Rhinolophus ferrumequinum: one gene and its partners. The protein of the gene in region 1 interacts with the protein of each later gene in a pairwise test. Links are inferred from orthologs where the notes say so. Each region holds a gene or a part of one and is shown in the gene's direction. Other genes may lie near its edges.

Evidence for each region.
Region 2: the proteins of NAPB (region 1) and STX5 interact in binary tests that used the Homo sapiens proteins (3 or more experiments, as listed by UniProt). The two-hybrid records come from large-scale screens. The link is inferred for Rhinolophus ferrumequinum from reciprocal best matches to the Homo sapiens genes NAPB and STX5.
Region 3: the proteins of NAPB (region 1) and STX4 interact in binary tests that used the Homo sapiens proteins (3 or more experiments, as listed by UniProt). The two-hybrid records come from large-scale screens. The link is inferred for Rhinolophus ferrumequinum from reciprocal best matches to the Homo sapiens genes NAPB and STX4.

The regions. Positions count from the first base shown.
Region 1 is NC_046306.1:43,857,579-43,864,823, reverse strand, and holds the start of NAPB (beta-soluble NSF attachment protein), read left to right. Parts: upstream 1-3,914; 5' UTR 3,915-4,005; coding exon 4,006-4,103; intron 4,104-7,245. UniProt on the Homo sapiens protein: Required for vesicular transport between the endoplasmic reticulum and the Golgi apparatus.
Region 2 is NC_046294.1:8,020,301-8,027,520, forward strand, and holds the start of STX5 (syntaxin-5), read left to right. Parts: upstream 1-4,063; 5' UTR 4,064-4,218; intron 4,219-4,429; exon of another isoform or gene 4,430-4,875; 5' UTR 4,876-4,894; coding exon 4,895-5,119; intron 5,120-6,146; coding exon 6,147-6,217; intron 6,218-6,373; coding exon 6,374-6,429; intron 6,430-6,546; coding exon 6,547-6,617; intron 6,618-7,220. Other genes in the region: WDR74 (WD repeat-containing protein 74), read left to right, coding at 972-1,047, 1,186-1,332, 1,485-1,586, 1,851-1,951, 2,038-2,093, 2,410-2,555, 2,636-2,692, 3,003-3,182; TEX54 (testis-expressed protein 54), read left to right, coding at 3,373-3,454, 3,561-3,772. UniProt on the Homo sapiens protein: Mediates endoplasmic reticulum to Golgi transport.
Region 3 is NW_022680357.1:328,295-336,166, reverse strand, and holds the start of STX4 (syntaxin-4), read left to right. Parts: upstream 1-4,715; 5' UTR 4,716-4,958; coding exon 4,959-4,988; intron 4,989-5,171; coding exon 5,172-5,273; intron 5,274-5,385; coding exon 5,386-5,485; intron 5,486-5,607; coding exon 5,608-5,682; intron 5,683-6,189; coding exon 6,190-6,260; intron 6,261-7,646; coding exon 7,647-7,755; intron 7,756-7,825; coding exon 7,826-7,872. UniProt on the Homo sapiens protein: Plasma membrane t-SNARE that mediates docking of transport vesicles. Necessary for the translocation of SLC2A4 from intracellular vesicles to the plasma membrane.

The DNA.
Region 1 (7,245 bases):
CATAGATAAGAATGCCAATTTATAAATTTGTAATGAACACCATGATGTCTTTGGGGACCAGAACACACCTATTGGTCCTCAGTGCATAGTCTCCCTGTCTTAGTTTGTGTCCTCCCAGAAGTGGACCTTGAGACAAGGATTCTAGAGAAAGCAATTTATTGGAGGTGACACTGGGCATCACCAGTAGGGGTATGGGGTCACAGAAGAGAAGGAGGCCAAAAAAGGGTACAGAACAAGCCAGTTTCTACTGTCAGCAACTAGAGCTCATTCCCACTGGGACCTCCGGGAGACTGTAGAATATTGTTCAGAATTGTCCCGGCAGATGGGTATTTATCCTCCAACTTCCCAACAGTCACTGATTGAGGGCTGCTCCCAAGAGGCAGAGACCAATTAATTCCCATATTGATGAAGTTAATTTACCACCCCTTCCACTTACTCCTCTAGCATTCAAGCAGAGAAGACTGAAGTCCAAAGAGAATTCGCAGGAGAATTGCAAGTGCTGGCAGTTGGGACCAGGAGGCATAGGAATATTAAGTGCTAGTCATGGTCAGAAGTTTCCTACTGATTTTGGAATCAGAAGGAGAGGAGGAGGGTGACACTAAGTGAACTTAGTAACTGGTAGCTGCTGTTGCACCGTTGAGTAGTGAGAGTCAGCTGCACGCAGCTACATTGCAGGCACTCGCCCAGTGCACTGGGTACCTGCGCTGGACAGTGAGGACACCAGCCATGCAATCCTGGAGGTGCACTGCATTTGTACCCACTGCACTCTCCATTGGTACCAGAATCCACACAGGACTCTCTTTGCACCACACTCCTTCTATGAGCACATGCAGATGGATGGCCACACCTTGTTTTCCATGTAGGTCTGACCCTGCCTCTCTTAGAGCTGCATGTTCTCAAGTGGCTTCAGCCTTGCCTTTGCAGACCACCTCTCAGGATGGGTAGTTGAACACTTGACATTCCAATCTAGCTTCTGTGTGTTCACTCAGTCTGAGTGTCTGTGTCCACCCTAATCTGCTCATAGGGAAAAGCCAGAGATTCTGTTTGGTTTTGCCTCGTTCTGGGTACAGGGTCTTTCTTTCCTGCTCCATCTTTTCAGAAACTGTCTGAAGACTTTTCCCTTTTTCTTTGTCTCAGTGTCCAGGGCTGCTGAAAGGCATAGGTGTACAGACCAGCATTGTCCGTTAGAACCTTGTGCAATGACAAAAATGTTCTATATTTGTGCAGTCCAATATGGTAGCCACTAGTTACATGTGGCTATTGAGTAGTTGAAATGTGGCTAGTGTGACTGAGGAATGAAATTTTACATTTCATTTCATATTATTTGATTTAAACTAAAATGGCCACCTGTGGTGAGTGGCTTCCATCCTAATCAGCATGGGTGTAGATCCATGGATCCTTTGGATCTACTCTGGGACCAGCTTCTACTTGAGGGTCTCATTCCCTCTCTATTCCACACCAGAGCAGGTCTCCTTTAGCCTCCTCCTGCAAGGATTCCTCATCTTTTTTCTAGTCCCTACTCTGTGAGGTTTGTCTCTCTGCTCTGTTATCTCCACTCACCTACCATAGCCTCTGGGATAAGAAAACACTTGCTCTACACAACAATTAAGGTTTGAAGTTTTTTGCTAAATCTGATAGATAGCATGGGGTGTGGGCTGGGGGAAGGGTGGGAGTGCCTGTTAGGTTTCCTGTGAGAAAGAAGAAAATGGGGGAAATACCAGGAAACATAAAAAATGTCAATATATACTTTTGCAACCCTTAACTGCAAGTTCTAGTTTAGAGGAGGCAGTTAATTCTATCTCCGTTTTAGTTGACTACAGGTTTGAGAATCTAGAATTGTAAGCTTTAGAACAGTCATGGAGAGGTGTTTTTAAAATGTGTACTTCCTGGACCCCAACTCTAGGAAATACTGATACAAAAAGCTAGTGGCTTAGGAATCAGTATTTCTGGGAGTTTCCGCATTGAGCTAAGTCTGGGAACTGCTTTAATCAACAAACTGATGCTGCACTTCAGAGCTTTTGAGTTGGCCCCACTCTATTAAGTCCCCATGGACTGCTCTGCTTTTCAAATTCTTATGTCCACTTTTTTCAGTTTTCTTTTTTACTCCTGCATTTACTGCCACCTCCAATTTCCTTCCCTTTTTTTCCCCCATACTGCTCCAAAAGTTAGAATAATGCATGTAATAATAGTAAATAAACTCTGCCTTAAGATCGGAGATTTCCTTCTATCTCTAGAGTGTCCTGCAATGCATAAAACTGTGACATTTGCTTTAGTTATCTTTCTCTCTAGGAGTTTGGCCCTTCTTTCCTTGCTCTCTAAAGGCAAACTACATTTTCTTAGATATATTTTGTGTGCCAGTGCCCACAGTGTACTTACTAATAATTTGAAATTGTCACAAGTTTTCATTTGGCAGTGATTTATATGTTTGCTTTGCCACCTCTGCTTTAGCATTGCCAAATGTAATGGTCTAGACTTTGTATTAAAAAAATAATAACTCCTTCTGGGACAGTTCTGGAAATGTTTGGCATATGATTAGCATCTATCTATGGATACTTCTCTTAAGAGATTAGAACTCTTCCTGGCATGCAGGAATTGTGTCCCAGGAGACCCACCCCCTACGGCCAGCATTATATAAAGGATAAGACAGCTCAATGGCAAACATCCACCAAAAAGAATTCAGTCAATAAAAAGACTGGAGTATGTATATATTGCATATATGCAACTTATTTATAACCAAGGAAGAGAGGAGCAACAGAACGTTGCAATATGGGAAGCCTGAAAAATAACTCTGAATTTATATCGGGGGAAATGATACATTCTTAAATGGCTTGCTCTAGAAATAAAAATGGCTCTTTCTGCCAGCTGTTGCTTGTGGGTGGGTGGACGCTACACATTTAATGAAGTTGTTTTCTGTGGCTGCTGTCAATGTAAGAAACACCCATACCTGTAGAGAAGTTTAGAGTTTTTTGAGCCAAACTGATGACAATTGCTAGGAAGCAAAATCTCAGTGGGTTAATAAAACTCCAGAGAATGGCAGTTTTCCAGCTTATTTCATATATTAGGAAGGAAGAGGTGTAAGGAAGGTGGGAGAAAGCAAAGAGGGGAAATCTCTGGGATTGGTTGAAACGGAGAGACACATACTTCTTTTACATTGGTGAGTACAGGATAGTTAATAATTAACATTTTACAGCACATAGAGATGGTATTCTGGGAACAAGAGAACAATAAGGGTTCTGTCTGGTGCGATGGACTGTGTCCTGAGGGGTCTGGAAAAAAGGATTGCTCTGACATTCCAAGGGTATGTTATCTTAGATATACAACAACAACAGACTCACTTAAGATAAAGATCGGCCTTTGTTTGTCAGGGGAAGTACTGGCCAAGGATGTGACTACTCACCATGACCCCTTTTAATTAGTAATTTTTTTTTTGTTTAGACCATCCTATATGGTTAATTTCAGTCTCTGAGTTTGTAGGACCTACCATGCTGGCCTCCTCTGAGTTTGTCAGATTTAGTAGTATGTGGCCCCTTTTTCATCCACACTGCATTAGATTCCCTTTTGTGGAACTCGACTGGCCTGCAGGTGGAGCACTCCATTATGTTATCCTGTTTCCTCATCCATCCCATTGCCAACTGTCAGTCCTACTGAGAAGGAATTCCTGAACCAACTGTGATGCTGAGGGTTGAGGCGATCCTTACGGAAAGCCACGGGTAATTTCCCAATTCCCCGCATACTTAAACGATTAAACTCACCAAGGCTTAGGATCACCCTTCGGAAACCACCGGTGTGGGCGGTTTGCAAGCTCGGATCCCATCCCCACCCACTCTGAGCCCTGCTGGGAACTGTAGTTGATGCGTTGCGCAACCTGGCCGCCAGGGTGGACCCGGGACTACAAATCCCGTGAGGCAGAGCGCGCCGTGCCTGCGCTCCCCGCCCCTGCGAGGGTAGAGCGGGGAAGACGCTCCCCTGCCGGCTGAGGAGGCTGTGGTGGCTGCGGCTGGCGACATGGACAACGCGGGGAAGGAGCGTGAGGCAGTCCAGCTGATGGCGGAGGCCGAGAAGCGAGTCAAGGCCTCCCACTCCTTCCTCCGAGGGCTGTTTGGGTAAGCGTCAGGCCGCGCGTGCCCTGAGGGAGTTTCTGTCCCAAGCTCCTTCCCCGCCTGGCTGCCCTCCAAGCTTCCCTTGGGGCCTCCTAGATTCCTCCAGAGATTCCCTAGCGCCCCCAGGCCTCGCCATAACGCGATCTCTAAACCCCCCAGATCGCCCCAGGCATCCCCTACGCACCCTCCAGAGATCCTCTGGGACCCCAGAGCCCCCCCCCCCTTCTTCTGATCCCCTGCCCTCTCCGTGACCCCCGGAGCACGGCGCTATTCTTGCATTGGTGCGGGGGTTCCCACGGCCTCACAGGTCCATTGCATTCCAGGGTGTGCGTGGGCCTTCACCGCAGTGGCGAGGCCGATTTGTTCATTTCACCGCATAGCTCGGGAGACCTGTGCCAGGTCAGCGGGAGGAGCCGGAGGGACGGGTCCTGGGACTCCTGGCCGGTGCATCTGGGGGTGGGGGGATTGTCCCGCTGGGCGGTGGGCCCCGCGGAAGAGCAGACGGCCGCAGCGACCCCACTCCAGTGTTCATATGCCCATTTGCCTTGCGCCAAGTAGGGATTTAATAAATATTCGTTGTATGAACGAATATGTTTTCTCAGCGTAATATTTTTCCTTCACCAGAGATTAATGTAATAGCCAGGGCCTCCTGTTTGGTTAAGGATAATGCAGCTCCTGTTTAAGTCTGCATCTTTTGGGAATCCTTTAATTTCTTATAATTCTTCCATGTTCTTCTAGGGAAAGTTTTACATTCGGACTTCCCAAAAAGCACTGATGGTTTTGGAAGAATTATGGGTGGTTGAATATGAATGATTCAGCTGTTTAGGATAAGAGGCAGAAATTTCGTGGTGATTTTTGTTTTTGAAAGTGAAAGATCCTCTGTAGACACCAGGAGCATATTCTTGAGAAGGACAAAGTGGCAGTTTTATTTCTGTACAATTTCAGTTTGGAATTTGCTTGTTTTGCCACCTCTGTTCTTTTGGTTATAATGCTTTGCCCTTGTTGACACATCTCCAGGAAATGCTTAAATGCAGGTTTCATGCAATGCAAAGTAGTATGGGATACAAAGATGCATAAAGGTAAGGGTTCCTGTCCTCAAGAACTTCTCAGAGGGCATTTATCCCAGCAGGGTTCTAAGTTTCTCATGTATGTGTAGTTTGAAATACGTATAGCAATGAATTGTAAGTTTGTTCCCCTTTAAAAGTTACCACAGTACATAAGGAGTACTGCCTAATACTTGATGTGAATACTAAGCAATTGTTCCTTTTTCTGATTCAGAAAATGTTTAAAATTTATTCAGATAAAATTTAATGTCATAGCACCTAATGCCACGTCACAGCGTATTTCAAGTCAAGATATCCTTTCTTGGAAGAGAATTTGTAATTGGCAGAAGAACAAAGCATTTTAGCACTTGATGCTTGTTTCAGGGGAACACACTGCTTTTTGTGAAGAGGTGTTGCATTACTGTTTTTTATGAAACTACACCAAATAATTGAGTCAATAATCCTAAAAGGATTTTGAAGCAGCTGTTTTGTTTTTAAACATCTTTTTTTCTTCTTGACTGTTGATCACCTATTTCATTGACAGGCCATATAGGAAGACTTTCATCTTCACCATTCACACTCAATTTGTACCATCCTAGGCCTGACCTGGATACAGCAGATCAGTTTATTGTCCTAGCTTTCGGACCTGAGGCAAGTGACTTAGCCTCTCTGTGCCTCAGTTTCCTCTGCTATAAAAAGAGGGTAAGAATAGTATATCTCACAGTGAAGGTTCAATGAGTTTATGTTTGTAAAATGTTTAGAACAGCTGGAAATAATTAGCATATTCATCAAAATTGTCAGTCCCATTTATTTGTCAAGGAAGCAGAAAGCCCGGCAGATTAAATGACTTTACCAAGATTTCAGAGCCAAAGACCCTATGGACTGGATCACTGTGGTCTTTTAATGAAATAAAATATTTGAAAGAGCCATACAAATGTTATTTATAAATGTACCATATAAATGTTATTTATATTATGAAGGACTGTGTTATTGGATCAGTGATACTTGGCTGCAGGAAAGGTTGGGGAAGAAGAGTACTCAGAGTTCTGTGAGTTTTAATTGTATAATTATTTGAAGTAAAAAACTGCACCTAGTTTCTTTCTCAGTTATAATGGAAAGGCAGATTTTGTATCAATTTTGGATGTTTAGAATCTTACATTATATCTGGCATCACTTGGACCTACCGTGTTTCCCCGAAAATAAGACCTAGCCGGACAATTGGCTCTAATGCGTCTTTTGGAGCAAAAATGAATATGAGACCCAGTATTACATTATATTATATTATATTATATTATATTATATTATATGAGACCCGGTCTAGTAAAATAAGACCAAGTCTTATATTAATTTTTGCTTCAAAAGGCGCATTAGAGCTGATTGTCTGGCTAGGTCTTATTTTCGGGGAAACATGGTGTCCCTCTTTCTAGGGTGGAATACATGTTACTCCATCCTGCTTCCCGTTCCTCATCTATAGAATTTTCCCATGTACTTGTTATTCTTTATTTAAACCACAGTGTACTCCATCTCCATGTCAGACTTCTGAATTAACAAAACACACATACTGATAGGAGTGTCATCTGAGACCGTATATTTAAGAGCTGACCAATTAGTACTTTAAAGGGGACAGGTGATGCTGTTTTGAGGATGTAGTAGCCATTAAAATTTGCTCAGTATTTTGCAGATATTTCACATCATAGACTTCCTCTTAAACTGCAGATTAAAACCTATTAGTTCAGAAGGAGATCCAAGATGGCAGACTAGATAAATGCTGTGCTTGCCTTATCCTGTGAACATATCAAAATTACAACTAAATTATAGAACAATCAACCTGGAGAACCATCTGAAGTCTAACTGAATGGAAGTTTTATAATTAAGGATATGAAGAAGAAGCCATGTTGGGACTGGTAGGAGGGGCAGAGACGTGAAACGGGTTGGTCCCACACCCACATGTAGTGGTTGAAAATTGGGAGAGATATCTTGGCCACAGAGGTTCCCCACGAAGGAGTGAGGGACCCGAGGAGCCCCCACAACTTCTGGATATGGAAAACAGTGGGAATTCTGACTGCCCAGGTGGGACGGAAGGTTGCGGGAAACCCAAACAT
Region 2 (7,220 bases), on another chromosome or scaffold:
GCAGGTGGAGAAAGGGGTAAGGGCATTCTGGGAAGAGGCTACTGCCTTGGCAGAGGCCAAGGATTGATGTCTCACTACAGGGTACCTTTCAGGGGCGATCAGTAGTATTTGGGGGTTGAAGCTGAGGAAGCGTTTTAATACAAGATAGGCAGGGTAGGTTGGGTTTCATTGTAAAGGGCTTTAAATGCCAGGCTGAGAGATTTGTACATTTGTAGGTGGTGGGGGTTACTGGTTTTTGAGAGGACAGTGCTGTGGTCAGAGCTGTGAGCCTGTAAGAGTGTGGAGGATAAATTGGAGAGGAAGCAGTTCAGAGACTGTTGCCATAATCCAGGGAAGTGATACAGACCCTGAACCAAGGTGGGAGGGTGAGCAAATGTGAGAAGGACCATAGGTTCGGGCTGTACAGCTCCTGGGGAGAGACTTGCTTGGGCTTTGTGGGAGGGGTACTTTGAGGGAGAGATCGACATTTAGCGTCTGGAACCCAGAACATGGAACTCAAAAGAAGCTGGTGTCTGACTTTGGCCAAACCCTAAATCCAAACCAGTCCCATTTCAGTCCTTTCAGAGTTATTGATTCTGACTCCCTGGTGTCTGACTCAAGAGTCAGAAAGACCTGTGGGGCCGGGTGACCCCAGATGGAGCTGTGGAATACAAAGGCATTCTCTGCTTTGGAGTATCACAGACTTGATTTCCAGCTCTGGTTCTGACATTCACAGCTCAGTGGGCAAATCTTTTAATTGCTCAGAGCTTGTTTCCTCACTTATAAAACTGGTAAAGCCTCCCTCTGTTGAGGAAATTAAACAACGGGAAGCTGGAAGCTGCCAAGCCCTGTCCAGACCAGAGTTGCCTAGAGGCTTCCTTAGGAACAGGCCTGTAGGAATTTAGTTTAGTTAATTTGGGGGTGGGTTGAAGGGAGCCTAGAGGATACTTTCACTTTTTTTTTTTTTAACTAAGTCTATCTTCCCTCTGCAGCACCCTCATCACATGTGTGGATTCTGGGATTCTTCGAGTCTGGGGTGACAATGACAAGGAGACATCCTCCGGCCCAGTGAGGCTCCCCTGCCCTGATCCCTGTGGTTGGGGAAGGAGGGGGCCAGGGTGGGAGCTGAATGAAAGCTTTGGGGGAAGAGGATTAAGGACTCTGGAACTGACTCTCATCCCTCATCTCATCTCCCATTCTTTTCAGCTCCTGGAACTGAGGGTGGGCCCTGGGGTGTGTAGGATGCGCCAAGACCCAGTGCACCCCCACGTAGTTGCCACGGGTGGGAAAGAGAATGCTTTGAAGGTGTGGGACCTGCAGGGGTCTGAGGAGCCTGTGTTCAGAGCCAAGAATGTGAGTGATGGGTGGGGAGGGGCTGGGTCTGAGGTCCAGGGAACTGAGGCCATTATGAGTCAGAGACCATGGCTTTAGGGGTGATGGAGGGCCGAAGGAAGGGACACATTGAGCACCCCACAACCCTGCCCCCCATCTACCCACCCCACCAGGTACGGAATGACTGGCTTGACCTGCGAGTTCCCATCTGGGACCAGGACATACAGTTCCTCCCTGAGTCACAGAAGCTTGTCACCTGTACAGGGTACCATCAGGTGAGAGACCACCCCATCCCTACCTCCTGGCTTAACCTCCCAACCTGGAGGATCGCTTCCCTCATCCCTGTCCATTTATGCTCCTAACGGCTCTCCCCCAACCCCCTAACACTCAGAAGAGGGATATATTTCAAATGAGAAAGTTTCTCTAAGAGTGGGTTATAAACAGCAAAGCAGTATATGAAGGGGGTGTTGAAGACGTGGGGAAGCCATAGGGGGGTATGTGGAGTGAGGGTACCCTGTGATACCGCAGTCTTCCTCCAGGTCCGTGTCTATGATCCAGCCTCCCCCCAGCGCCGGCCGGTTCTAGAGGCCACCTATGGAGAGTACCCACTGACAGCCATGACTCTCACTCCTGGGGGCAAGTGAGTGTTTAGAGGGCAAAGAGTGGGGTCAGGAAGGACTCTTGGAGGCTCCTGCTGACCCCACTTTCCTCTGACCTCCTCCTCAGTTCAGTGATTGTGGGGAACACTCATGGGCAGCTGGCAGAAATTGACCTTCGGCAAGGTAGTGGACTGGGGAGCCTTGGGGGAGGGGAAGGGTAGGATGCCCTCTAAGGCACGACAGTAGAGCGGTTGAGCCCTCATTCAGGTATTAGGTTATCTGAGTTCAAATCCTGGTTTCAAAAGCTGTACGACCTTGTACAAATTACTTTGACTCGCTGTGCCTTAGTTCCTTCACCTGTGAAATGGAGATATTAATGGTAATTTCTACTTCAGCGTTATGTTAAGGATTAAATATTGAAATGTAAAGTGATTTGAATAGTAAACAATAAATGGTTGTTGGCTGGTCAGCTGGCACTGATGCTTACCCCCTTCTCCAGGGCGCCTACTGGGCTGTCTGAAGGGGCTAGCGGGCAGTGTCCGAGGGTTGCAATGCCACCCTTCAAAGCCCCTCCTAGCCTCCTGTGGTTTGGACAGAATCTTGAGGGTACACAGGATCCGGAATCCACGGGGCCTGGAGCATAAGGTGAGAGCCTGCTGCCAAATGTGCCCCCATTCATGTTTCTATTTCATGCTTGGTTCCTTAAGGTACCTCATCTTTTGCAGGTTTATCTCAAATCTCAACTGAACTGCCTTCTCCTGTCAGGCAGGGATAACTGGGAGGTGAGCAGTTGTGTCTGGGAATGTGGGAGCCAAGGACGTAGATGTGAGGATTTATTTCCCTGTGGGAAGAAAAAAGGAAGCAGCTGGAACAGAGACCTGGGACTATCCATCTACCTGTCGCATTACTTAATTTTTGTGAGGAATGTTAATAGTTACAGTCCTGACAGGGTTACTGCCAAGGGTGACAGGAACATGGGTGGGAATGAGTTCCCAGAGCAGGAAATAAAAGTGATTGTTTCCCAGCTAGAGCCTCCTTCCCAGTGGGTCTATGACTGTGTCCTTGACACTGAAGCTCTTCTCCACTCACCAGGATGAGCCCCAAGAGCCTCAAGATCCCAGTAAGGTGCCCCTAGAAGACACAGAGGCAGATGAACTTTGGGCCTCTTTGGAGGCTGCTGCCAAACGGAAGCTCCCTGATTTGGAACGGACCCCAGGAGCTCTCCAAACCAGAAAGAGAAACAAGAAGCGGCCTGGCTCCACCAGCCCCTGAAGAGCCTGTGTTCACTTTGTAAATAAACAGCTCGACACCCACCATGACTCGGAGCCTTTTGTGATGGTAGAAATGAAAGAGGGGTGGCTGCTCTCTAAGCTGAGGCGATGGGATATCTGACGTCACAAAAGCCTGGTGAGAGCCAGGTGGGCTGGAGTGGGTGGTACCCAGTGCCGGGCTTGCACAGGCCATGGGCTGCTGCCAAGACAAGGACTTTCAAACCTCCAAGGGTCACGCCAAGGAGGCCCAATCAGAGGAAGTGGAAGAGGAAGGTGGGATGAGACACACCAGGGGACCCAGGGGGCTGGAGAGGGGGAGGGCCCAGGAGGTTGGACGGGGAGGGTAGAGCTGAGCTGAGCAGCCTTGTCATTCCCGCAGACACCGAAGGGATTGATGTGGACTCGTCGGACCACCAGAATCCCAAGCGTAACAAAAGCCTGTTGATCACCGTGCTGTGGAGGCGGCTATCCATGTTCAGCCGTCGGGGCTCCACGCGGTCAAACAGGAGGCAATCAATCCAGAATCAAAAGCATGGGTGTATGTTACAGAACAACGCGGAGAAGGTCCTGGAGGAGCCGGAGAAGGGGTGACCCCAGCCCTGCTCTCAGTTCACCCCATTCAGAGAATAAAGTTTCTAACGTGTACTTGCCGGAGCGCTTATGCTTCGGCTGCCTGCTCTGGGCGAACAAGGCACGGGAACCACCGGGGCTGCGGTCTCTTTAAGGCTCCTCCGCTGAGGCTGGCCCAGCCCCCTGGGTCCAGGCTCTGGTTCCTAGGGAGCGGAGTCAGGGGAGAGGCCTAGCCAATGGGAGGGCGAGAGCCTCCCATTGCGTTTGGGTGGGGGGCGTGTCCCTTGGGTTGCCGAGTTCAAAAAGGCGTGGCACCGCCTCCTCGTCACCGGGGGTGGGGTTACGTGTGGGTGACGTGGCGGCTTCTAGTCTTTGGTCGGGTTTCCGCGGCTTCGGCGCCCGGGGAGGAGGTGGTGACGACCCGGGAGATTGTGGTAGCGGCGGCAGCGGCAGGCGGCAGAGAGGAGGTAGGACTCGCTCTAAGAGGGGTCTGGCGGCCGTGTCAGCCCCCGGTAGTGGCTTTCCGGAGGTGGCGATGGGCGGGGGGAAGGGAACTAGGGGCGCGCGGACAAGTCCTGCCGGCCCGGCTCCGGGTGAGCGAGTACCGCGCCGTCCAATCAGGAAAGCTCCTGTTGAGAAAGACGTCGGCATTACCTAATCAATAGTTGCCGTCTTCCAGAAGGCGGGGCTTGAGCGGAGGTGGGACTTCCTGTTTCAAATAAACACCCAGAGATTTCCCCCCTCCGCCCACCGAAGTGTGTACCCCTCCGGAGGTCGGTCTTCGTTTCTCCCTGAGGAGTCGAAGAAACCCGTGAATACGAGAGGGCCCAGTTAGGGCCTACGGCAGATGCACAGACTGGGCTGGAGCCTTGGGTCCACGGGACCTGCCTTTAGCCCTGTCTCTGCTTCAGGGACCCCGGCCCACGTTCTGGCTGCCTGAGCCAAGGTGGAAGAAGAGGCTGAGGAGGGGAACGGCTTAGGCCGGAGAGGAAGCGGGGGGTCCTGCCCATTGAGGGCCGGCCCCAGGATCTGAGGGTGGCTTTGGGACCCAAGGATTTGCTGGTTGGGGGGAATTTGTGGGGAAGGAGACTGCCTGGAGAATGACACTCTCCCCTCCACAACAGTCCGAGGTTATGCGTCTCAATGATCCCGCGGAAACGCTACGGGTCTAAGAACACGGATCAGGGTGTCTACCTGGGTCTCTCAAAGACACAGGTCCTGTCCCCTGCAACTGCTGGCAGTAGCAGCAGCGACATCGCCCCTCTGCCCCCCCCAGTGGCCCTGGTCCCTCCCCCTCCCGACACCATGTCCTGCCGGGATCGGACCCAGGAGTTCCTGTCTGCCTGCAAGTCCCTGCAGAGCCGTCAGGTAAGGACCAGAAGTGGGAAAGGCAGGAATGAGCTTTACTCAAATTTGGGAGAGGCTGTGCTCCAGCACTGTTGATTGATGTAATTTTTTTTTTTTTTTGATTGGAGTAATTTTTGTCGGAAACTCTTGGAGAACTGATCAGGCTTGCAGGCTTGGAGGGGGCAATAGAGAATCTACTAAGAGGTGGGCAACCTATCTAGAGGCAAGCATCCAGACTTTTTTTGTGAGGAATCCCCTGGAAGGTAGGGTTGCTATTCTGGAAGGAATATCTCAGGATGAGAGGTGGCTGCAATATATTTCGTTTGGATAAGGAGCAGGTTCTCAAAAGAGCCTTTAACCCAGAGACAAGCACTTTGAGTTCTAGTTCTGGTGGAGTTCTACCACTATTTGCTCTGTGACCACGGGGAAGTTAGTTGGACCTCAGTTTTTATATATGTAATTTTTATCAAACTCACTTTGAAGTGCTTTTCTTAAAAATTGCTTTCCCTTGTCTCAATCCGGACTTTATGAATCTAAGTGGGATCTGTGTGACTGTAATTTTATTAAATATTTTTACTGCTCAGCTCTTGTTAGCAACTGTTCTTCTGTATGAGCTTTCCAATTATCCTCTTCAATTCCCTGATTGGAGTACAGTGGTAGAGTGGTGATAGGAACTATTATTTATTTGGTGTTCTCAATGTTCCAGCTATTTGGCTAAAATACTTTGCAACCGTCTTCTTGTTTAATCTTAGCAACGATAATATGAGGTGTGTGGATTGTCTTCATTTTATAGAAGAGGAAACAGATTCAGAATGGTTTCAGTAACTTGCCCCCAACCCCCCAGTTAGTAAGTGGTGGAGTCAAGATTTGAACCCAGGTCTTCCTGTCTTCAACTATGGACTCTAAACTACTGCTACTGATAAAATTAGACCGTCTGGTGGAGGATGCCACTGGTACTAGACAGAGAGTTTAGTGGACACCTGAAAACAGTGAAAGCTGGAAATGGGGAGGGGGAATTAAAGTTTCACCTGTTGACATTGCTTTTCAGAATGGAATACAGACAAACAAACCAGCTCTGCGTGCTGTCCGGCAGCGCAGTGAATTCACACTCATGGCCAAGTGAGTTGGGAGAAGTTATGTGGTGTGCTGATACAGTGTCGGAGGAGAAGTGGGCTTGCCTTTGGTGGCCTGGCAGTGAGGGCAGGATTGGTTGTGCTGGAGCTAGTGTGGAAATAGACCCTTTCCCACAGTGTTCTCACTCTTGCGTCTTTACAGGCGCATTGGGAAAGACCTCAGCAACACATTTGCCAAGCTGGAGAAGCTGACAATCTGTGAGTGTTCTTGCGGTGTTTCAGAGATGGGGCAGTGAACCAAAGAGGGCTGAGGAATTGACTCCCTGAGCCTTGTCTTTGACCTCACCCTTCTTGCCTTCTTGTTTGTCTCTGCAGTGGCAAAGCGCAAGTCCCTCTTTGATGATAAAGCAGTGGAAATTGAGGAGCTAACGTATATCATCAAACAGGTGAGCTACTAGCTAGCAGGAGAGCCCAGCACTCCTGTCGGGTCACATCCATCATTTTCCATTGCCATGGAGACCCAGAGCAAGTTCCTAGAGCCAGCCCAAACATCCTGCTCATCCATTGAGTCAATAGAAACTTACTGATCATCTGCTGTATACAAAGCGCTGTGATGAGCACTTGCCTTACAAACATGAGGCAAGATTTCTGCCTTCAGGGGCTTATTGTCTAGAAGAGGTAACCAGCCCCATAAACTCAGACTTACAGTGAATAGGAGGAAAGTGTGCTGAAAAGATCATACAAAAAGATAAATGAGATAGTCTAGGGACACTGGGAAATATTTCATAGAGGAGGTCAAATCTGAGCTGGTTTCAAGGTTTGTGTAGAGGCCGTGGAAGAACATTCCAGACAGAGGAAACAGTGTTTGCAGAGGCATGGCGTGTACAAGGGAAAGCTCAAGTCTTTGCTCAGGTGTTATCTGTTCAGGGAGGCCTACCTTGAACATGCTGTTTAATAATCTAGCACCAAAACTCTGATCTTTCCTACCTTAATTTGTTTTTGTTTGTTTATTTGTCTTTAATAACGATGTATTCTAACATTTTCTATAA
Region 3 (7,872 bases), on another chromosome or scaffold:
AGTAGTGAGGTGGCTTGTTACAAAGTAGTAGCTGATACAGCAGGAAAACCGTTCAGATAGATCAGAAGTGGGATTGCTGGTTCAAAGTGCACATGCATTTGGAATTTTGATAAATATTGTCTAGGGTATATGATTTTGCATTCCCACCAACAATGGGTGAAAATCTCTGTCTCCCCCCGACTTTTGCCAAAAGAGTGTTTTATCAAATATATGGATTTTTAATTTTTTTTATTGCGAATGCAATAAAACATGGTATTTCAGTATTGTCTTAACTTTCCATTTCTTATTATGTATGAAGTGGAACATCTGCATATGTCTTCAAGTCTTTATGTATTTTTTTGTGATCTGTCTGTCATATTTTTTTTCATATTTTCTATTGAACTGTTGGTTTTCCTTGTCAATATGTGGGAGCTCTTTAAATAGTAGGGATATTAGCCTTTTGATAAGAATTACAATTTTTTTTCCAGTCTGTTGTCTTTTGATTTTGCTTTGATGTTTTTGCCGTGCAGAAAATTTTCATGTAGACAAATATATTAATCTTCTATTTTATAGCTTCTGAAAGTTTAGCTGCAGTTGGAAAGGCCTTTCTCACTCCAAGTGTTAGAAAGGATTTCGTCCATATTTTCTTCTAGTATTTTTATGGCGTTTATCCTGACACGTTGTGTCGGGGAGCTGGCATATGGACATCGGTTACTTAATGACTGTGTGTTTCAGTTTCCTCCTCCGTGAAATGAGAATGATAATAGAACTCTCACAGAATTGATACGAGGATTAAGTGAGTAAATATTTATGAAGTGCCTGTCGGTGCCTGGCACGCAGTAAGTGCTATAGACATTTTAAATTAAAGAGAAATAATTTCATTCGATTTGAATATATATTGACCAGCTCCTCTGTGCCAGGCAGAGTTGTGCCGTAGGAGCCGGGGACACAGCCGTAAGCAACACAGGTGAAAATCCCTGTCCTCAGGGAGCTTGTTTTCTAGTAGGGTGGAGAGGAGGGGTGAGGACAGACAATGTATAAAATAAACAAGCAAAATATGATGTGTCAGATCCAAGCACAGACAGGAGAGATTTGCAGGAGTTGGCAAGGCTAGCAGCTTAGGACCAACACAGTGGGGCTCAGGAGATGGAAAGGGGACAGACACCTTGGATAAGCAGCAGAGTGGGGTCCCTGGAGAGGATACTGGGGCTGCAGACGCCTTCCTAGTAACAACCACCGTCAGACCTCAGGTCATAGCAGCAAACACTTCCACGACGCTTACTGCCTACCAGGCACTGTTCTAGTCACTTTACATGTGTCATCTCATGTCATCCTTACAGCAGCCCTGTGTAAGAGGCTGGTACTGTTATTGTTCCCATTTTTCAAATGAGGAAACTGAGGCAGGGAGAGGTTAGGTAACCTGCCTTATAGAGTCATACAGTAGGTGAACGAGCTGGGGTTCCAGGCCAGGCCGTCTAGCTCCAGTGTTGGTAGGACGAGCCTACAAGTGGAAGGGACAGGGCACGCTGCCAAGCCACAGGACCAGGTAGGACCTGATCCTTACACGGACTGAAAGGAAAACACACACACACCACCAACACCCGCACATCCAAGACCCAATATGCCTAATACCCACTTCCAGGCTGCTGAGCGGGCCTGAGCAACAGAGGACCATGGCACAGAGATAGGGGTTCAGCTCTGGAGGGCCCCATCCCAAGAGCCATTTTCCCTAGACGGCCCCTCACCCCTATCCCCTGCACACACCGGTCCACAAGGCTTTGATCCCTGGGAACGTTAAGACACCCTCCCAAAGCCCCGCGATTCCACCCAAAGACCACAAATAAAATCATGACTATCATACTCCTGAGCAATTTAAGAAAGTCAGCAACAACTCCAAAACACAGCTGGGAACCAAGAAGGCATGTCAGCAAAGGCTGAGAAGCAGAGAGAGACAGGTGGGCCCAGAGAGCTGAACCCACAGCAGTAAAAGCCTGCAGAGTGGGAACCCTCGATACTTCACAAAACCCTTCCATGTCCTTCCTAACCGCTCTTGGTACTCTTCAGCTCTTACCTTAGGCAAGATGGAAATAACCAGGGAGAAACTGAGCCCCAGAGAGGAGCAATGAATTATTTAAAATCACACCCAGAACCAGTAGCGAGATATCCAAAATTCCTTCCACTGTACCACTCAAGCTTGAGACGGAGTATGAGAGATAGACAGAGACAGAGAGAAAAGGGGTGCGGTTCAGGGGGGCAGAGAGGCTGATATGGAACACCCAAGAGAAGGGAAGAAACCCTTCCTTAGGACCATCAGAGGAGCCCACGGGCCAGGGCTTGGCTCCTGAAAAGCCCTCCAAGCCTTAATTTTCCAGTGGCTTGATGTATAGAGCATAGAAAATGTATTATATATGTTTGCAAAACAAGTTGTTTACTAGGGACAGGACTATGGCCACACATGTGTGAGACGGATAAGAGTGAAGTGAAAAACATGTTTTTGTGTGAAACTGAGCATAACAAAATTGAGTGATAAACATCTTTACCAAAACAACTTCTGGTTATCACCTAAGAGATAAACAACTCCTGGCAAACCACTTCTGGTTATCACCTAAGAAGTAAACAAGTGCAAGGAAAAGAAGATAAAAGCAGAACTCCAGAGCAGTGCCATGAGTGGTCAACTGGGCACTCCGGCTAAGACCCTCTGCAAGATGCAAGCTGTGATACTCCCGGACTCTCCGAAGTTCTTCCTCGCAAGACCAGCTCGCCTCAGACACTTCGTGGGCCCAGTCGCCTCTCCCGGACCAGGAACCTTCTCCATCCCGATTGACTCTGGGACTTGGTTTGTTATTAAAGTCTATTCTACTCTGTACAACCTTCTGTGCTTGCCAGAGCACTGGCCTCTGGAGGGACATTGGCTCCCAAATAAAGCTGTGTTACTCTATCTGAACCTGTGTGCCAGGACTTTGTTCCCCACTCATGTCGCAAGTACCACGCAGGGACGTAGGGCCCTGCCCAGGGGTTAATGTCCCCCTGACTTTCAGGAAGAGACTGAAGTGTAGCGATTGCCCTTATAGGTGCTTGCAACACTCGATCAGTGTGGCAGCATTCTCATTCCTTCATTCCTGCTCCCAGCCCAGCTGGGTTCTAAAGGGAAGAGAAGAAGGATCAAAACCCTCATACAGAATCAGACAGCACTTGCCAGTTTCCAACCACATAAACATTGAATTTCACAGCAGAGAATACACATAAAGATTATCTCCCCATCCCCCTACTGCCTCCTATTGCGTAGATGGGAGACGGAAGCCCAAAGACGACAAGTGACTTTCCAGAAGTCCACAGCAACTCGGGCATAGGAGTCTAGGTTTCCTTACCAGGACATACTAGAGAGGGGACATTCCTTCCCCTGCTTGAACCTTCATAAAATCTCCCTGGGAAAGAGCCCTGGGATCCCGGGGACCTGTCAGTCATTCCGGGTGTGCTGAGACTCAATCTGCCGCCTTGGGGACTCTCCCTCATGCATGTAAGCTCCACAAGTGCAAGGTATTCTTATCTGTTAGGCTGTGATGTATCTCTGGCTCCTAGAACTGTGTCTGGCCCATATTAAGTGCCCCATAAATATCTACTGAATGAATGAATGTCTCTAGAGGGTCCTGAGTAGGGTAGCGTCACTGTGAAAGCCTGAAGCCTAAAAGAGAAGACCAAGGAACCGTGAGCTTTCTCTCCAGACACGTGAAAAGCTAATACTCTGTCCACAAACAGTTATTGGGAGTACATTAGGTGCTAGGGACGGAACTAGGCGCTGGGGATTCGGGTGAAAACCAAACAGTCATGCCCGTACTTCCGGAGCACTCAGTTCCCTATAAAGTGGAACATTGTGACGGATTTTTGTGTGGGCCCCGGAGGGTAGACCCAGGTGTAAGGCAAACGGCTCGATACAATACAGACTAGGCTTTTCTCAGTCTAACTGCCCTGGCTGCTCAGAAGGTGGCGGCCTGCTGTGTTCAAGCGGGGCGCCAGCCGCCCACGTCAGAGGCTGCACCCCGAGTCTGCGGGAGGAGAGAGTTCTGCCTCGAGTGAAGTCACTTCCCACCCCCAGCTTCTCTGCCTTCAAAACCCTGCAAGTCTCTGACGCCGGAGCTTAGCATTTTCTGGATTCCAAGGTCCCATCGCGCTGACAGCCTCCAGTTCTAGGTCGTCCGTCTGCACACGCCCCTGGACTCAAAAGCAACAGAGCCGAGTTCATCAATAGCCCTGCCACCCAGGGCCTCACAAGGTCTCTGGAGAGAGTCAGCACCCCGTCCCCGCCTCGTGGGAGCCGGAGGGCCGTGGCTCGGGCGCCGGGGGTCGGGGACGTCGTGGCGAGGGGTGTTCCAAGAGACGAGCTCTGTTGACAGAATCCGGGACTCGTGACAGTGAGAGCGTCACGTTCGGTGGCCCGGGAGGCTGGGACCGGGCCAGTCACGTGGCGCGAGGGGAGTACCATGGGGTGATGTGAGATGCAGGGCCGCTCCGATTACATACACATGACGCATCCCCACTCCTTTTGGCAACAGGACTTCGGTTGGAAGATGCCCCAGTTCCGGTCAAGGGGGCGGGCTCTCACAACCTGGCAGCGGTGCTTCCGCTCGGGGCGCTGTCGCTTCCGACCTCCGCCTTTCTCTCGGGTGGGGAAGAGTCGCCACCCGGTGCGCATGCCCCGAGTCAACCCAGAGTGGGCGGGGCCGAGGCTGCTGGAGCGGGAGGGGGGGAAAGAAAAGGGAATTCCGACCTGTGGAACCCTGGGGGTCACTGTGGTCGGCTCCTTACCATTGACTGTGGATGGTGTCAGGGACAGAGCCTCTGGCGGCTCGCGGGGGGCTTGGGGATCCGCAGGGTGAGGGCAGACTGGGAGTGTCAGGGTGTGAGTGGGGTACGGGAGTTCCAAACTTAGAATCTTGAGGCCCTCGGGGCTGAGGCGCTGGGAAGAGGGAGCTCGGGCCGCCATGCGGGACAGGACCCATGAGCTGAGGCAGGTGAGAAGTCGGGGCTGCAGGGGTGGGACGGGAGGACAGGCTGGGGTCTGGCTGGAAGGCAGGGCTCCTGGTCTTCGGAGCAGGGAGGGGTGGCTTGAGGGCTAGGAAGACCCGGAAGCCCGAGAGTCCTGCGGGGACAGAGCCACAGCAAGGAAGTGATGCCAGTGCACCCGGCCCTGGCAGGGGGATGACAGCTCGGACGACGAGGACAAGGAGCGGGTCGCCCTGGTGGTACACCCGGGCACGGCACGGCTGGAGAGCCCGGACGATGCGTTCTTCCAGAAGGTAAAAGGCTGGGGTCTCCGCCAGGATTCACGAGAGGGCTGGAGGACCCGAGGGGCAGTGCGGTCTGCAGTACCCCCATATCTCCTTCAGCCCTCTCGGTCACCCTTCCCAGGTCCGGATAATTCGGCAGGCTATTGTCAAGCTGGAGAATAAAGTCCGAGAGTTGGAGAAGCAGCAGGTCACCATCCTGGCCACGCCCCTTCCCGAGGAGAGTGAGTGAAAACCTGGATCCAGAACGCACAGACGCTCAACCAGGGGATTCTGGGGATTGTAGTTCCACGCAGGTGGTGGCCAGGGAGATGTGTTGATGTAGGGACTGCTTTCTCTTGTTCAGGCATGAAACAGGACCTGCAGAACCTGCGCGACGAGATCAAACAGCTGGGGAGGGAGATCCGCGGGCAGCTGAAGGGTGAGCTCCTAGGACCTCAGACACATCCTTTCCTGGGGTTCTGCCCAGCTCCTGACAGATCTGGGGAGTGTGTGCCCCAGAGAAGCCAGTGATAAATCCAGGTCACAGCAATCTAGAATGTCCATCTCCCGGGTTGCCAGTCCATAGCACTTTGCACAGCACATGGCTGCTTCTCAGGTTCCTTTATTATGAAACCGTTTACTCCTACAGTTCTGGCTGCCCAGTGTGCCTTCTTTGGGCAGGAAGATGAGGGTTTAGTTCTGTGGCCTCTGCATAGCTGTGGGAATTCTCTGATGTGTTGCAAAGAAAAATGTATTGTCTCCTGTCAGAGGCTCAGAATTAGTCATTTAGTGATAAATTATATGTCCCGAAAAAATCTTATGGAGACAAGCACCTCCCTGTTGTGTGGCTGGGGTGTGGCCCTGGCCCTGTGTCCTGAAGCCCAAACAATTTTCAGAAGCTACAGGTCAAACCCCCTCCCCCACCACACCTTTGTTCTTCCCACAGCCATAGAGCCCCAGAAGGAGGAAGCCGATGAGAATTATAATTCGGTCAACACAAGAATGAGAAAAACCCAGGTGGGTTTGTTAGTCCCAGAACGAACACATTTCAGTATGTGCTTCATAGCTCATTAGACGACAGAAGTAAGAGGGAAAGGTGCTTGGAGATCATCAAGTCCAACCTGATGATTTTCCAAATGGGGAAACTGAGGCTCAAAGAGAGGAAGGACTCACTCAAGGTCAAGAAGCCAGATTCTTCTGATTCCGAGTCCATTTTAACACCCTGCCTTCTTCTGCTCCATTCAATGAGACGTTGCTGATTCCCCAGAGGTGACCTGGGCTCAGCTGTGGGAGACATGCTTTTAGGAGCCAAGAGAGGAAGTTAAGCTTGACTAGGTAACAAGAATATTAGTCAGGTAGGACTTGGTAGCTAGTGATTCTGCCCACGAAGAAGAGAGTGCAATCATGAATGACTGGGAGGTTTCCTGCCCAGGTGGCAGGGACACCCTCTGCCCCGTGGGCAGAATTCAAGAAACCAGGGAAAGGAACCTCCTGGGGTCAACATCTTTGGAAGGTGATTTGAGGTGATCTGACTGGCCCCCTCTGTGTGTCCATTGAGAACTGGTTTGCAGTTCTTGGAGGTCAGAGTCAGAGTAGGTGGGCTCAGAGCTCAGCAAGGAGCCCAGATTAAAGATGGCACAATTTGGGTATCTTGAAAGGGTGTAGCTGAGGCCAGGAGAGCAAGGAACTCCAAGGAATAAGGCGTCAGACACATGGACAAGGCAGGAGGGCATTTCAAAAGGGACCCATGGTCATCAGTGGGAGAGGCTGGGGGCCCAGGTGGGCTTGTAAAATCTGGGCAGCAGTCTGAACTGCATGCATACTAGCACCCGTCCATTCTAAGCAGTGAGGCTGGTTTCAACAGGCATTCAACAAGCAGCTGTTTGGGGTCCAGTGTTGAACCAAAGATCCCTGTCCTCAGGGAGCTTCTATTCTCATGAGGGGAGACAATCGTAATCATCCCTAGAACATGATTGTATAACATCATTACGTATTAAGGGGAAAGGTGTGGGAGAAGAGGGATTGAAAGTGCTGGGAGAAGGCTTGTAATTTCAGTAAGGTGGAGACAGTTTTGTTCAGAAGGTACCATCGGAACTTAAGACCTTGTGGGGCCTGAGTGTTTTGGCGGAAGGAACAGTGAGTGCAGAGTCCTGAGGTGGGGTGTGCTCTGTGCCGGAAGAGGAAGGAGCCCACTGCGGCTGGAGGGAGTGAGGGCGGCACAGTGGGAGGAGGTGGGTCCCAGGGAGGCCAGGGGAGGGCAGGTCCAGGTCCTGGTAACAACCTTGCAAGGTCATGAAGGCAGCAGGTCCCTAGAAAGCCTGTGCTGCTGGCTCACGGAGTGCCGAGGTCCAGACAGGGTGGAGATCCTCCCAGAGGTGCCCAGCGCATATTCTCCATCCTCAGCACGGGGTCCTGTCCCAGCAATTCGTGGAGCTCATCAACAAGTGCAACTCGATGCAGTCCGAGTACCGGGAGAAGAACGTGGAACGCATTCGGAGGCAGCTGAAGATCAGTGAGTCGTGGCGCCTGGCTGCCGGGTGGTGGGCCTGACCCGGCTCTGAACCTGGCTTTTTCCTTCACAGCCAACGCTGGGATGGTGTCCGATGAGGAGCTCGAGCAGATGCTGGAC